2 linked regions of the Neodiprion lecontei genome follow. The protein of the gene in region 2 binds, or shares a complex with, the protein of the main gene of each other region. Links are inferred from orthologs where the notes say so. Each region holds a gene or a part of one and is shown on either strand. Other genes may lie near its edges.

Region 1 (8,224 bases), on a different chromosome or scaffold from region 2:
ACTGGCTCCATCGTTGATTTTTCGAAATCACCAAATTTTCGAATTTTACATTCTTTCAACAATATTCTTCTTGTAAAAAAATGATTTGCACATCCGCATATCATTCATTAGACGGCTTTGCTTGTCTTACGTGGCTTCTCATCAAGAAGCAAGAATTTCAGATGTAAACATTTCACCTACACATTATATTCTTACTGGTGCTTGAAGAGACGAAAATTTCTTAACACATGTTGAATAATGCTTGATGCTTGATACGGCGGACTCATTCAAAGTTAGTTTCGAATTCACTTGATGATGTATCCTCTTTATTCTTCTCCGACATGTATAAAATAGTTTTGTGTTGCTACATTGTTTGAACACGCATAAACTTGTGAAAGTTTCTTGTGAACTACATTGGCTTGGATTGCACATGTTTTCCGTATCATCCGAGATTTCACTCATCCGAGGTATGCTCTCCCCTTATTACCTCGGATAAACGTGGTTCTACTGTATTGCAAATCCGTTGCAAATTACTAAGGTCTTATCTAATTAAAAATAGAGAACCATTGATGTGAAACTTTGAAACTCACTATGATTAATCGTTTATACTTTCACACAAAATGGATGTGATATTGTGAATTAATAATATAATATAAGCAATTTAATCATCCACAAAATTGATGACAAAGTTGAACGCAATTTCAATGTCATTGATTTAAATTCATGTATGTCCAAATTTTCATTGAACAGATTTGCTGGATGATCGTAGTAAGGATCGCAGGGATACTCGAAAACGTGATACCAGTGGCGACATAGAATCAAGAAAGCGGTCAAAGAGGGAAATTGAGGAAGATCTACGAAAAACTAAAAAGGTGCGAAAAGATTCCACGTCTGATGAAGATGAAATGAAATTGAAGAAAATATCAAAATTAGAAGAGGAGAAATCTAAGTCAAGAAAGTCGAAAAAAGACTCCAGCTCTGACGATGAACCGAAAAAGTCGAGAAAGCGTCGAGACAGCTCGTCTGAGGATGCAAAGTCGAGAAGTAGGAAGTCGAGAAAAGAATCAACCAGCGACGATGAGGGAAGGTCCAAATTAAAGAAAGCCAAGCGGGATTCCAGTTCGGACGATGAAGAAATTGTAGAGCGAGAAAGTAAGAAAAAGAAAAAGGTAGAAGATAGCAGTGACGACGAGAAGGTAAAGAAGAAACGCAAAAAGAAAATGAAGACAAGTACAAGCGAATCTGAGGTGAGAATTTAATGATTTTTGGGTAGCATATAAATTAAGTTACTTGGATTCTGCCTTGCATAAAATAACTGTGTAGGTCTAATACGACATAAATGTTATGAATTGAAGATACCGGAAGCCAAACTTTCGCTGAATCTAATTTGTTTTTTGTTTCTCTTGTTTTTCTTGGATAACAGGATAGTGAAGTGGAGGAAAAGAAGAAAAAGAAAGATAAAAAGCACAAAAAACACAAAAAGCATAAGAAACATCGTAAGCATAAAAAAAAGAAGGCTGTAGAGTCTGAAGAATCGGATGCAAGTGAGGGGAACACGGAAGAACTCGAAAAAAAACTACGCGAAAAAGCCTTGAAATCTATGAAGAAAGGACACAGTATTGAACAAAGTGACTAAATGGATTGTGCGTAATTCATGCAAGATAATGTCAGAGAAGTTGGCGTATTTCAAATAATTATAGGCTGTTATTTCTTAGGTTGGCTATGCCAAAGTAACGATTCACCCGATCCAACAAACAAAACTGATAATTAACGGTTTTGTATTTTAACAGACTGCGGTTGCAATTTTTGAGGCAACTTCTTTGATATTACCATTAAAAAATAATTTGGTATTTATAAAAAAAAAGTACCATAAAAAACTAAAACTAAAACTTACAATAGTTGATTGTATCTATGCTAGTAATTTTACAACTCGTTTTTTGTTGTAATTCTCATGCAATCAGAAATTCAAACTAGAGGTAAAAGTTTTTTTTACGTTTCTGATTGCCAAAAAGTGTTCATACCATGCAGTGTGAAATAATCAATTAATTTGTAAATTAAGTTGACATGTGAAAGGATGTGTGACAATCGAAGAGCATACCTAACATTGTGAAATCGTATGAATCGCGTGTCCGTGAAATAAAAACTGTTTCAACTAAGAAAAACTTGTAACTTTTTTTCCACGTTTAAATACATAAATATCATATTATCACTAGAAATTTTAGTTGAGATGTGAAATAATTAACTTAATAATACAAGGAAAAAATTTACGGGGCCTCAATTTTATCACCCAATGTTTCCGCACTATATTTTATGAGTTTTTTTTTTATGGAATATGATTTTCATGAACTTGCGATTTTTTTAAAGAGTACTTCAATTGCGATATCCCACGCAAGAGAGGGCTTCGAATTTCAGATTTCGTTTAATTTTTACAACAGCCAGAATAATATCTAGTACAATTAATAAGTTAAAACAATTGAAATTTGCTTTTCTCATAAGTTCAAAGATTATCTAACATTGATTCCCAGTCGGGTAAGCAAATAAGGGTACTGCTGACTGAGCCAAGGTTAATAAGTTCGCCTTCAAGTTTTTCAAGGTCCAATTTGGCAGCGATTAGATCCTGAAACAAAAGAAAAGTTTCAACAAATGCACGCCTTTACCCACATGATGACGTTGATAAGATCACAGAATTTTTTCACTTGAACTTACTTGTCTGAAACTGATGTGCGAGCCCACATCTACAATTAATTTGTTATCCCCTAAAACAAGTCTCGCTTGTCCAGATTTTAGTATTTGTAATTTCCCTAGCATTCCTTCCTTCAAGTTTTTCAGCGTACAGTATTCAGTCTTGGGATTGATATCACTAGGATTTGCTGAACCTAAATCGGTTGTTCTTCTCGCTTTTGGATCACTCAATTCATCATCTGTTTTAAGTCCAGGTAGGCAATCGGGAAACTGTAAAGTACAACGTATAATTTACGCCACAGGATAAGGTTCAGTCCAAGGCATATCTGTGCAAAGTGAAAAAAAAAAAAAAAATTTCATCGGTTGTACCTGTAGTAAAATGTAATTATTTGCTTCGTTTGCAACAATTTGTGGAATAGTGATAAGTTTTTTCTCCTCTGTTAGCGATTTCTTCGGTAACGAAGTTTTTGCTGTGTTATGTTCTTCTGATACTGGAAAGAATGGAAAATTTTAAGAATTAATTATTATTGCAACGTTTCGTAATGAATGACAGTAATCATGCACGACATAATTTTTTTTCCTCTTAGAAGATTATTTGTTTCAATACTGAAAAAATTTGAAGTACTTCAATCAGTCCAAATTTTATGATTAAGAAATTAATTAATTTAAGAACTTTAAAATTTGATGATTCAAATCGATGTGCAGTCCGTAAGTATTTTACTTCTGCCATTTGTTTGAAGATTTTTTATTCCATAGATCTGGAAACTCCTACAAAATAATTTTTGTGACGTACCTTTTCCGTTTTCTAAGATTACTGGTTTCACATCTTCATCTAATCCATCAGCCTTTATTACTTGGGGTTCTTCCTTGAATTCTTTCTTGTATAACTGTGCTGGAATGATAAATGAACAAAAAAAAAGTGACAGAAGTTTAGTTGTCTCATCAAACTTGCATGAAGGCTAATTAAAATAGGTTTGATACTGACCATCATCAGCCATAGGTAGCATCACTGGTGCATTTTCCATATCTGGTACAGCTCCATTTTCGATAAAATCATCTCGAAGCAGGTGCTTGAGTTTCTCTTCTTCTTCAGCTTTATCAATCTTCTGGTTTAAATTTAATTTTTGTTTTTCTAAAACAGTACTGGCACTTCGATTGCCGCTCAAATTGCTACCATCTCTGTAACTACTGAATCTTTTTTTGGCTCGTGAAGAATCTGCTATACCACTGGAGAATACTCCGTCAGTCTGCAAAGAGTACATATATACAAAAAATCAACCATGAATGTTTGAACACTGTAATCCAACTTCTGATTAACAAAGATAACCTAACCTGGATAATGTTATCCGAGACTTTTCCTTTGCCTCTACCTCTTGTACTTTGTCCTCTTCCGCGGCCTCTTTCTCTTGGAACTTTAGTATTATTTTTTACAGTAGTGTGATCACTGCAAAGTAAAACAGATTACTACATCTATGATGCCTTGATAACAATAGTATAAATGTGATTCCTGCTTACTCTTTAGCTTTATTTCGTTGTACGTTCAAGTTTGGAGTATACAGTTTTTTTGGTTTTTCTAGTTTCACATGCCCGCCTAGTGTCCAATCTCGTGGCGATCTAAATGAAGTAAGCCTCGTAGAAGGTAGTCCAGCCTCAATTTTCACATTTGTTAACACCGTTGATCCTGATGTACCCGGTTCTACTTTGATCTTTATTTTTGGATCCAGTTCTCTGCTGTTTTTTGATTTATCCGAGTCCATTTCTAAAGGAAATCCAATTAAAAGTCAGTCATGAACCTGGATAACAGTTCAGTTTATATAAAACTAGAAAACAAAGAAATAAAAGCAGTCAAGCAGTTTTATGGCATGACGAGTAAATCTACGCTGATAGTACTAGAGAATTTCAGTAAATTTAGTTAATTTAATTGCTAAATTAACTGACATTCTCTCACGCTATTAATCCAAGATACAAGTTACCTGAAAAATAATATTAATCGATTGCGTTTTCACTCAAATAGCCGTTTGCGATAGTAACATATCCTTACTCAAGCTAACCTAAAATTGGATATAACGTGTATTCGGCGTGTTGACTCGGACTGGTTCAAAATCCAATGCTGATCTGTTTACCAAATATAGTGATGTACTGCCGTTATGTTATAATAGAAAATATTTAAGTCTGCGACAGTTGAAATTAGCCACTGTCCACTAGAATAGTTTATTTGTTTAGACTTATTGTTAGGCCAGGCGTCTGTGGGGCACGTGTGCATACGTACAGTTGCCTACACATGTGTGTTGTATACCGACCGAGCGGACGAATGTTGATTGGCCTGTCGTCCTCCAATCGGAACATGGACGATCTGTCATTTTTTAACGAGTGCGAAATTTACAAACTGTCCTTACGCTTTGACACGCTAGAGATAAAAGAGATTTACAACTTCTTAATGATATCAGTTCGAAGTAAACGAAGTTCTGCGCTTAATGGGAGTACAGAATTATTTCGATTGAGTTCGCTCGATTTATGGTTATTATCACTGTATTATCATTCTGAAATATGCGCAATAATTATTGGCAAATGATTTTTATATGCTTCTGAAATACAAGGGTGCTGCAATACTTCTTTCGCAATCGTGTACATTCCAGTAATCTACGATCTTTAAACTTATTTAATGGTTTAAATATAAATTTTCCGTATGGAAAACATATCTACATCGAACATAGTTTATTTTTCCAAATGTAGTTTTTAAACGTACTAAAATTAATCTTGCTGAAAATAATATCAAGTACTTGACCTCACAACAAAATAAATATTTTACGAGTTAACAATTAAGTAGAACTCATTGTTTCACTTTGGGTTCTTAGTAAACTTATGTCTCTAACTGCGAGGGCTTGATTTTTCATCGGTGACTTAAGTTGCTATTGGTTTCATTGTGTAGGAAAAATTGGAATAGTTTACTACAGAAAGTAAAAAGGACAGGTGCGTTTGGTTTGTTGCATACTGTATTTGATGGGATGGTTTTTGAACTTTGCAGAATTGTCGAAGCTGATCTAATATCAATACTTTTACACAGTGTATGCTTTACACTCCATTGGCAAACAAAAGTTCAATATACCTGCGCATTGACAAAATTAATCTTTATTCACACGGCTATGCGATTCAAAAAATTTGCATTGTAATTTGAAAAATATGTTTCTATTACTAGGCCTGGTTTCAATTTATTCGTAGTACATAGTAGAATATTTCTTTCCTGAAGCAATTTACTGGCATAAAATATCGAAGACTCAATGAAAAATTGATGTAGTATAATTATTTTCGTTCTCCTACCAACTGCATGCTTTTCCATTATTTTTGAAATCGTATTTCACACAAGTCAGTATAACTTACCTCGATTCTATTTTTCAAATTATACCCTCAGGACGTGACCTTTCTTGCTTCGCTGGTAATACTTTTATATAATACACATATATATTGCATTGGAGGATCTATGTCCAGGTTGGCTGTTATATGATATATTAGCTCGGCAAAGGTCGGCAACGAGATTCAAGTTGAGTGGATATTGGATAGTGGATACTGGCTGTATATGTCTACCAACTGCAGGTTATCTTATGCATGCATTGTAAACAATGCAGAATGAGAAAAATGAGAAATATTATTACCCCGTCTCCGGTGTTATGGAACTTGAAAGATAATTCTCTGCGCCACCGCGCGAAACGTGCAGCGTTATCTAATTTGAAGTATTCTTCGTGGTCTGTATACATAGCACGTGTGTATACGTGTACAGTAGTTTGTATACCTATAATCATGTAAGCCATGCTTTTGCATGCGCATTCCTGACGTGCGGACGGTAATACATATTACAATATATCGCTGGCCTAATCGTTAAAACAAAGGTGTGACGGGTTCCGTGTGAAGTTACAAGAATATATCAAACTTCTAAGGAATAGTCTTGCAGCATTGAGTGCGATACGATCGAGCAGCGTCTCTGGTCCATGCGACAGTTATTTGACGACTGTTTTGAAATCCATTATATCGGGTGTTGACATACTTACCGTAAAACTTTGGAATGCTTTTTCTCAAATTTTTCAAATTTTCAGAGGTGAAATTCCGTTATTGCAATTGACTGTGTCTATAATTGTAAACTCAGATCATTCGGGTGACTTACATTCGATTCTTACCTCAGAATTTCAAAATTTGGAAAGGTGGATGCAAAATTCTCAGATTACAGAATAAACCTTAGTATACGGTATATTTGCATCCGAGTTTCTAGGATTTCGCAGACACTGTGGTAATTAAATTTCATGACTAAAATGCATACGTTTTCGTGCTACGAGAAATTGTAATACCGGTTTTATTCCAGTCGTCCTGTTGTTCATATTACTCAAGTTTTATTACGTTCCAAAATTCAAATCAGAAACTAACGGTTGCTTATGTAACAATAACACGAGTTTACAACAATCTAACTATCAGATTTTAAGTCCAACGCCAACACGATTGCGGAATTGATTAACAATCGTTTCTGAATAAGAATGACGTTCTGTATGAAAATTTTCGTTATTCCTAATTTGAACTTATACTCGATGAATTTTTTATTCTTATTAAAAGACACATGATAGAAATTCAGTCGGTGATCCCGCATTACGCGATCATCAGCTACAGGTTTCAGGGGACTGCGTCTGTGTAGCGGAAATATAACAAGTGACTCTAGACAAGAAAAATGACGAACGTTAATCTCAGCGTTATATGTATATCTATATAGGTATGTATATATATATATATGTCTATTTATATCATCAGTAGCCGTGAAAAGTTGACTTGCAATAAATCACACGTGATCGTGATGCGCTGCAGTAATATAGGGCATGTGAAGCGAACGCCCTTCCGCACGTTTCTATTCGTAATAAAAATAATCGGTACGTACGTACGTGATATATAACCGGCCGTGAATTTGTCGAGAGGAATGAAAAAGAAAAAAGATCGGACGTAAAGAGCTGCGATATAGAGTGTCGAGGATCCAGATGAGTTGGCCCCTCGCTATTCTATCACGCGTCTATAGAGTCCCCTCGGAGTCCTGAAAACCAATTCGACCCTCTAGCTCCGTGGCCGATCGTTTTGTCTACGATCAGCGACACGGATCCACCAGCTATAATAAAACGAACGTAGCGACAATCGGCGTCGCCTGTCCCACCAGGGACTCCATTTTCCACCCGTGTGTACAATTATGCAGGGGCCCAAAAAACATCCGAACAACAAAGACGTCTAGAAATCGAAAAAGTCTGTTAGACGACTTTTGCGACTCAAGGGTGTCTCTTGTTCTTTGCACTCCGGTGCTTTTATCGTTTTGTTATTAATCCAGTCGCTAACTACAGGTACGTAAAAAAAAGAACATTTGAAGATGAAATTTTTCTATAGCACAATTTTCTTTTTCTCATCGTTGAGGGGAAGTCGTCGGTAGTCCGAATCAAGAATTTCCATAAGATTCTGCAGTAACTTCAGCTGCCATCTTCAATTCAAGGTGGAATTTGTTTTTTTTCAAATAAATCGCCCATTTTCAATTGCTGACTAGAAATGG
Region 2 (6,968 bases):
ATTCACTCGTAATCTACAATTCTATAATACTTGTAGAGGGAGAAAAGAACATTATATATATATATATATATTTAAGAATAAAGCAAAAAACAAAAAACGAATAAATCAAAGGCACAAAATCAAAACATATTATTATTACTATTATTATTATTATCATTAATACTATTGCCATTATTATTACTATTAATATAATATGTTGAACCATCCGGATTTTATGTGAAACGCAGCTAATCCTAATTGAATCTTGATATCTGTTGAAACCCATGTTTAGATTTTCATCACTGCATACAATTGCGCACACATAATGCATAGATAGAATTTACAATTGATTTGTTCCTACGGGAGTATTAATTACTGTCCGGTAAAAGAGTGTTTGGGTGGACGATATAATAATGAATATTATTTAATCCAAGAAAACGCCGGAAAAATTATCGCTTCTGCATCCAGGCGAGTGATGAGATTCGTGATGTATATATACCTATAATTATATTTTATCATGAAGTATAGTTAAAAAATCCACGTTTTGCGACGAATACCTAGTCGAGTATGATAATCATAAACGCCATAACGCACAGCGTTTATTATCCGCATTGATTGCCCATAATATCGTTTTATACTCGTTTAGTTTCACAGAGTGCCGATTAATTGTGCAACAAGACGTTATTTTTATGATAATTTGCCTGTAACGGTGCGATGTATAAAAGTCATTATTATACGCGGTTCTCGCATGAGTTGCAATTTTTAAGATTTATTAACAATAATATTACACTTACGAATGTTATGTTTCTCAATTACCGAATCGACAAGGTTCACATATCCATGATGAATGTATTATTATTATTATTATTATCATTATTTTTGTTTCAATCAGTCACAATTATATGAAATCGTTGAAAAATCTTTAACAGATTTCCACCCCAATCTCGGGTACTTCTTACATAAAAGTACGACCTTTCCAGCAGTTAATAGCGACACTCAAATGCTGAACTGTTGTATCCTGATATTTAGGAGAGCAGTACCAGCAGTACTATCGGTACATACATACATATATATATATATATCTGTATATATATATGTGTACATATATATATATAATAATAAACACACAGATATATCATTATATTTATTGTAATAATTTAAAAGTTAGGTACTCTTTGTTGTTAGTATTTTACATGCGTAATCATTATTATTAATATTATTTTTATTATTATTATTATCATTACATATTAATAAAATACCCGTATGAAATAAACAATATGTTATATCGGTTGTCGTAAATTATTTTTATTACCTTTTTACTTCAGTTATTGGCCAAAGTTTTTCTGCAATAATATGTCTGTGCGCGCAATATGATGTGTCTGCTCGTGATGCAATAATGTAACGATTCCGAGATTTGGCGAAAAACAAACGGTACGTAAACGAAACTATAGCGTATAAGTCTTGAAATTTATGAAGTCACTAAACTTCTTGGTTATTTATAAAACGAACAGTTGAACAGTTATATTTATTTTCTCACACTTACTTGAAACTTACCAGCGTTCTTGTTCATTTATTTACATCGCTTTGATCTACAGTATAATGTATTTATATGTTTATGAGCATTTCATTGGGTTGGAATCTTATTTGAACGCCCTTACAAACAAAAAAATATTTGGATCCCGAGAATGCCATCGAAGCACTCCTAGTTTTCTCTATGTTACCAATGGTAGTCATCTTTCGAGATTCTCTTGGATCGCCGAGGTCACTGGCTTTATGAAATTTGTTCATTATTCTTGTCTCATTGTCAAACAACGTGATTGAATATCAAAGTTTTTATTTTTCTTGATACCGTGAATACATTGTCAACAAAAATAACGTTTCATCTATCTGTAGTTCGCTGGCACCAAGTTTTTTAATTATGTCTTGTACTTTGCCCAGTTCTAACTTTTCAGACGGGGTCATCATTTCCGCTATCTGTAAATATAACGGGAAACAAATCAATTTCAGCTTAATAAGCATTCCTTAAAATCGGGTTAAAGACTTAATTATATCTATCAAAATACCGACATCGTTTAACTGTTCTTCTGTGGCCCCATGTTCCTTCAAGTTACTGGTGAGCGTTTGTACCCGCAAGTGTTTCTCAATCATCCTCTTATTCACCGTGTTTTCGTGATCCCGCCGCTGTATGGTATTATAAAGAGCATGATAGCAGTGACTTATTTCCATTCCGACAACCTGATCAAGGTCTATGTGAAAAAGGAAGAATATTTTTGTCGGGGCATTCGAAACCGTCGTCTTCTTTAATTCTTGTACATGGATATAATTCTCCTGCAGCAACGTGTACGTTAAATGCTTAGCTTCCTTAGCAGGTATCATCGCCAACTGCTGGATCTGTTCCTGCTCGACGTATTTTCTTGTACGTACCAATCTGCGACAGAACATCTTATTACTTACACGTTATATGAGTGCTGTTTGGTAATATGTTGAATACTGACCTAAATATTCTTGCAGCCTTTGATCCGAATCGTTCAAGGACAATATTCTCCAGAGTAGTCCACGTTAACTGTGTGAAAGCTTGTTTCATGTTTATGCTAAACTGTCCACCTCCGCTATCTCCAACCCTTTTTAAAAACTGGCAAGTATCTTCCTCTGCAATTACACGATTTCATTTTTTTTTCTTTTCATTTAATATCTCTGGAATTAGAGATTCAAGATTCTGAAGATATAATGCTATTTGAATGGTCGTTGTCAGTGACTGATATCAGGTCAATAATCAAAATAATTTACTGACCAATAAGGCACAAATATTGATCTAGGTGTTGAATTAACATGGGATATTTCAACTTTCTAACTGCATCCTTTATTTCCACGTAAGGTATAGGATTTGACGTTGCCCTCCACTCAGCTGTGCGCAAGTACATTAGATTCAGCATTTGCCTCATTAGCTCTCCGGCATTATCATCAAAACGCTTAGTGATAGCAGAGACCATGATTTGATCCCTGAAATGTAATATACCACGATAAAGTATGAGGTTGAAGTTCTTAGCGTTATCGTAACAACGCAGTTTCATAAAAACTCGTTATTTTGCAATATTGAAATTTTCTGGAATTTAATAAACCATAATACAGACGGACAAACTTGTATTTGGTAAATTGAACTCCGTCAGTTGATATGAAGCTGTGAAATGTGGACGTTTATTTCAACATTTGGTTACTCTAACATTACTAACTTCAGTCTCATTAGAAAGTTAATGAATGCAAATGACTTTATTCATGCAAGTTGATAATTTCTCGCGGTTTTTGAATTGTTACCTGATATCTTGAGTGAATCTGTCGAAATTAATGCGCCAATATATATTATTGTCTCCAGGGTTTGCTGCGATGCCATTGGCCATTCGAGAAAGTGCCAGGAGATTAAGATCTGGGAAACTAAAGTCAAGCTTTTCTACGTTTAAATCTATAGGGTCCTCTAGAGCAGCTGGCGTAATAATGGAACGCATTAAAAATTGATGCTTGACCAGTGACTCAAATTTTTCTTTCAATATTTCCACCGGTTGTTGGCGGTCACCTGATGATTTGACAAAAATTACAGAATTTACATGTACATATGGCAATCAAACAACGAAGAGTTGAATAAATCTTTTAAAAACAATCGCTCACTCGATAGTTGCTTCAGTCTTTGGTAAGTTTTGACTATTATTTTCGAAGCTGTTTCGTAGCCTCGTCTTAATAGCTCTTCTAGCATAATTTCAGCTTCGTCACCCAGCAGACTTTTGACGAAAAACATGTACCTTGAAGGAAGTTTAGTTTGAGAAGAATAACAGGACAATAAATCGAATATAACTTGCAGCTATTTTAATCAAAGCATTGAGCACGATACCTTGGATATCGCAGGATCATCAAAATTCGCTCGTGAACAATAATATATTCGTTGAGTTTATCATTTTTGCTGTGTTCAACAAATCCATACTTTATAAGAACGCACATCACCTCCTTGATCTGTATATAAATAGAAGAGTTTAGATTAATGGGATAAGATTTAATTCCAATTAATACGTTCTTTCTTTCCAAATTATCTGAAATTGACGAAGCCGTACTTTGTTAAGCGGCAGATTTACAGCTGCTTTTATAGCTCGTAGTGACCTCCGATCGTATTTCAGTAAATCGTCACCCACAGTTTGCACGACAGGTCCAAAATGTTCCAGCAATAAAACGGAACATAATTTACAAAGGTAGATTGACATGTTTCACACATTAAATACAGTATTTGACATAAACTTGAGGTATAAACACGGGTCTAACCTCAAACATAACTTAGCTTTACCTAAATTCACTCTAAATAAATCGGAATGTTTTGAGGTTACAATGAGCGTCGACTGAAAGTAGCCGAATTTTGGGTCATGAACAACTTCAAGGCTGCCAACATCATGCAGCACTAGCCTAGTCTCGAAAAACTCTAGGGTGTATTCCGAAATATACTTTCGGTACTGCCGACCGTGACGTCACGCAGTCAACTGCGAACTGCTTTCCGATTTTACTCCGAATTGCCAGTCGCAGTAAAATCTGAACGCTACTTTCCAACTACACCGAGAACGTGGCCATCTCTCAAGTACTTCAACTACCTCACGTCCCAGCCGCAGTAGCGTCAAGAACGTCACAAATTTGGTGACGTCACTGACTGGCGGCAGTACGCTATCGCGTGATTTCGGAACGCGATTGCCAGTACGTGCAGAACTGCCACAGACATATATGTCTATGAGTACTGCAAGTATATTTCGGAATACACTCCTAGTTAATGTGTGACTAACATTGTCTGATAGAGCCTCGAGTTTAAACAGAATTTGATCACGAAAATAGAGTTAGACGCAACATCAGCTTTGATTAAAGATATATACAGACACACAGCTCTGAGTTATTTTTTGTAGCAATTGGGCGGGTTTAGGCAGGTTTGGGGGTATTAGCAGTTTCACGTATTATCAACGTTGACTAAAGAATATGAAGACGGATACCCCTGGGTAAATTTTGGTGAACAGTTTTCGGTGGGCGAGTGGGCCCAGGTGGACCTGGGAGCGTAAGAGGGTTCTGCTCTATCAACTCTACCTAACGGGCACGCGCCAACATTCGTAGCAGCCAAAGCAGTGTAGATGTGATAGCGTGAGAATGAGTCGGTACAAAGTTAGTACGTAAGACTACTTGTCCACTGCGACTAAGAAATGTCGATCAGCTCGATCATCCCCGTGACAAGAAGCGTGGAGCATCCACCGCCAAACACCCCCAACTGCCACCGATTACCTCGCACCATTTCCGAACACCTCCTACCACCCCCTGCCACCTCCTGCCGGCGTCAACCACCGCCTACCATTTCCGAACACCTCCAACCACCTCCTAACACCTCCTACGTTGACTGAAAAATATGTAGACAGTTGCCCCAATGGGATTTGATGTGACAACCGAAAATCATCGTGCGCTTGCGCTCCCTGAGATGTTTCAATTGTAGAGTTGAGAACTTATTGCAGATCATCGGAGAGTTAACGATTTCGATATGATGCTGGCCGTATGCTGGGTGCATTCACTTTCCGAGTAACACAGTCTTCGCAATCATCATCCAACTATCGCAGAACGACTGCGTTATTAGCTGACCCGTTAACTGAAGGATATATCTTCAGTCAACGGCGGACCATCGAAGGGCCTGGCCGCTTGAGTCTGGAATCGGCAGGAGAGATGAAGTGTGTATTTCTTGTATGAAACGTGAAGACTAAAAGCATTATACATCATATCATATCATCATACATCATACATCATACATCGTACATCATACATCATCATACATAGTATCAAAGTTCGAAACCATAGTTTGGATGTCGGACGTTCAGAAAGTGACGTCACCAATTCAAAATCAGCTAGCCGAATTCCTCAGTCGGGACACAACCGCGCAGTAGAGCGGACGCATGAGAGTCGCGCTCCGCAAATTTCGAGTACCGGGTTCTCAACCTCACGGATCCCGCGCTTCGGGTCCGCTACGTATTTCGAGTACCGGGTTCTCAACCTCCCGGATCCCGCGCTTCGGGTCCGCTACGCGGTGAAACTCGACTTCCAGGATAAGCGCTCCGTGGTTCCTGATTCACGTTTACAATAAATTATTTCAATTCGTTTTTCGAGCAACCCCAAATTCGGTAGCTGTCAGTCCGCTAATAAAATTTCTCGACTTCTAGGATAAGCGCTCCGTGGTTCCTGGTTCACGTTTACAATAAATTATTTCAATTCGTTTTTCGCGCAAGCCCATATTCAGTAGCTGTCAGTCCGCTAATAAAATTTCTCGACTTCCAGGATAAGCGCTCCGTGGTTCCTGGTTCACGTTTACAATAAATTATTTCAATTCGTTTTTCGCGCAACCCCAAATTCGGTAGCTGTCAGTCCGCTAATAAAATTTCTCGACTTCCAGGATAAGCGCTCCGTGGTTCCTGGTTCACGTTTACAATAAATTATTTCAATTCGTTTTTCGCGCAAACCCAAATTCGGTAGCTGTCAGTCCGCTAATAAAATTTCTCGACTTCCAGGATAAGCGCTCCGTGGTTCCTGGTTCACGTTTACAATAAATTATTTCAATTCGTTTTTCGCGCAAGCCCAAATTCGGTAGCTGTCAGTCCGCTAATAAAATTTCTCGACTTCCAGGATAAGCGCTCCGTGGTTCCTGGTTCACGTTTACAATAAATTATTTCAATTCGTTTTTCGCGCAAGCCCAAATTCGGTAACTGTCAGTTCGGTAATAAAATTTCTCGACTTCCAGGATAAGCGCTCCGTGGTTCCTGGTTCATGTTTACAATAAATTATTTCAATTCGTTTTTCGCGCAAGCCCAAATTCGGTAGCTGTCAGTCCGGTAATAAAATTTCTCGACTTCCAGGATAAGCGCTCCGTGGTTCCTGGTTCACGTTTACAATAAATTATTTCAATTCGTTTTTCGCGCAACCCCAAATTCGGTACCTGTCAG

What was found.
Region 1: DNA-directed RNA polymerase III subunit RPC3 (region 2) and DNA-directed RNA polymerase III subunit RPC4 share a complex: the UniProt entries of both Homo sapiens proteins name them as parts of the RNA polymerase III complex. The link is inferred for Neodiprion lecontei from reciprocal best matches to the Homo sapiens genes POLR3C and POLR3D.

What each region holds. Positions count from the first base shown.
Region 1 is NC_060260.1:24,685,829-24,694,052, reverse strand, and holds DNA-directed RNA polymerase III subunit RPC4, read right to left. Parts: upstream 6,064-8,224; 5' UTR 6,040-6,063; intron 4,950-6,039; exon of another isoform or gene 4,635-4,949; intron 4,421-4,634; 5' UTR 4,419-4,420; coding exon 4,177-4,418; intron 4,106-4,176; coding exon 3,994-4,105; intron 3,909-3,993; coding exon 3,647-3,908; intron 3,554-3,646; coding exon 3,455-3,553; intron 3,153-3,454; coding exon 3,031-3,152; intron 2,932-3,030; coding exon 2,686-2,931; intron 2,597-2,685; coding exon 2,477-2,596; 3' UTR 1,974-2,476; downstream 1-1,973. Other genes in the region: serine/arginine repetitive matrix protein 1, read left to right, coding at 730-1,226, 1,403-1,615. UniProt on the Homo sapiens protein: DNA-dependent RNA polymerase catalyzes the transcription of DNA into RNA using the four ribonucleoside triphosphates as substrates.
Region 2 is NC_060265.1:6,939,970-6,946,937, reverse strand, and holds DNA-directed RNA polymerase III subunit RPC3, read right to left. Parts: upstream 4,481-6,968; 5' UTR 4,224-4,480; coding exon 4,077-4,223; intron 3,979-4,076; coding exon 3,860-3,978; intron 3,771-3,859; coding exon 3,640-3,770; intron 3,548-3,639; coding exon 3,292-3,547; intron 2,980-3,291; coding exon 2,771-2,979; intron 2,629-2,770; coding exon 2,475-2,628; intron 2,408-2,474; coding exon 2,047-2,407; intron 1,954-2,046; coding exon 1,813-1,953; 3' UTR 1,797-1,812; downstream 1-1,796. UniProt on the Homo sapiens protein: DNA-dependent RNA polymerase catalyzes the transcription of DNA into RNA using the four ribonucleoside triphosphates as substrates.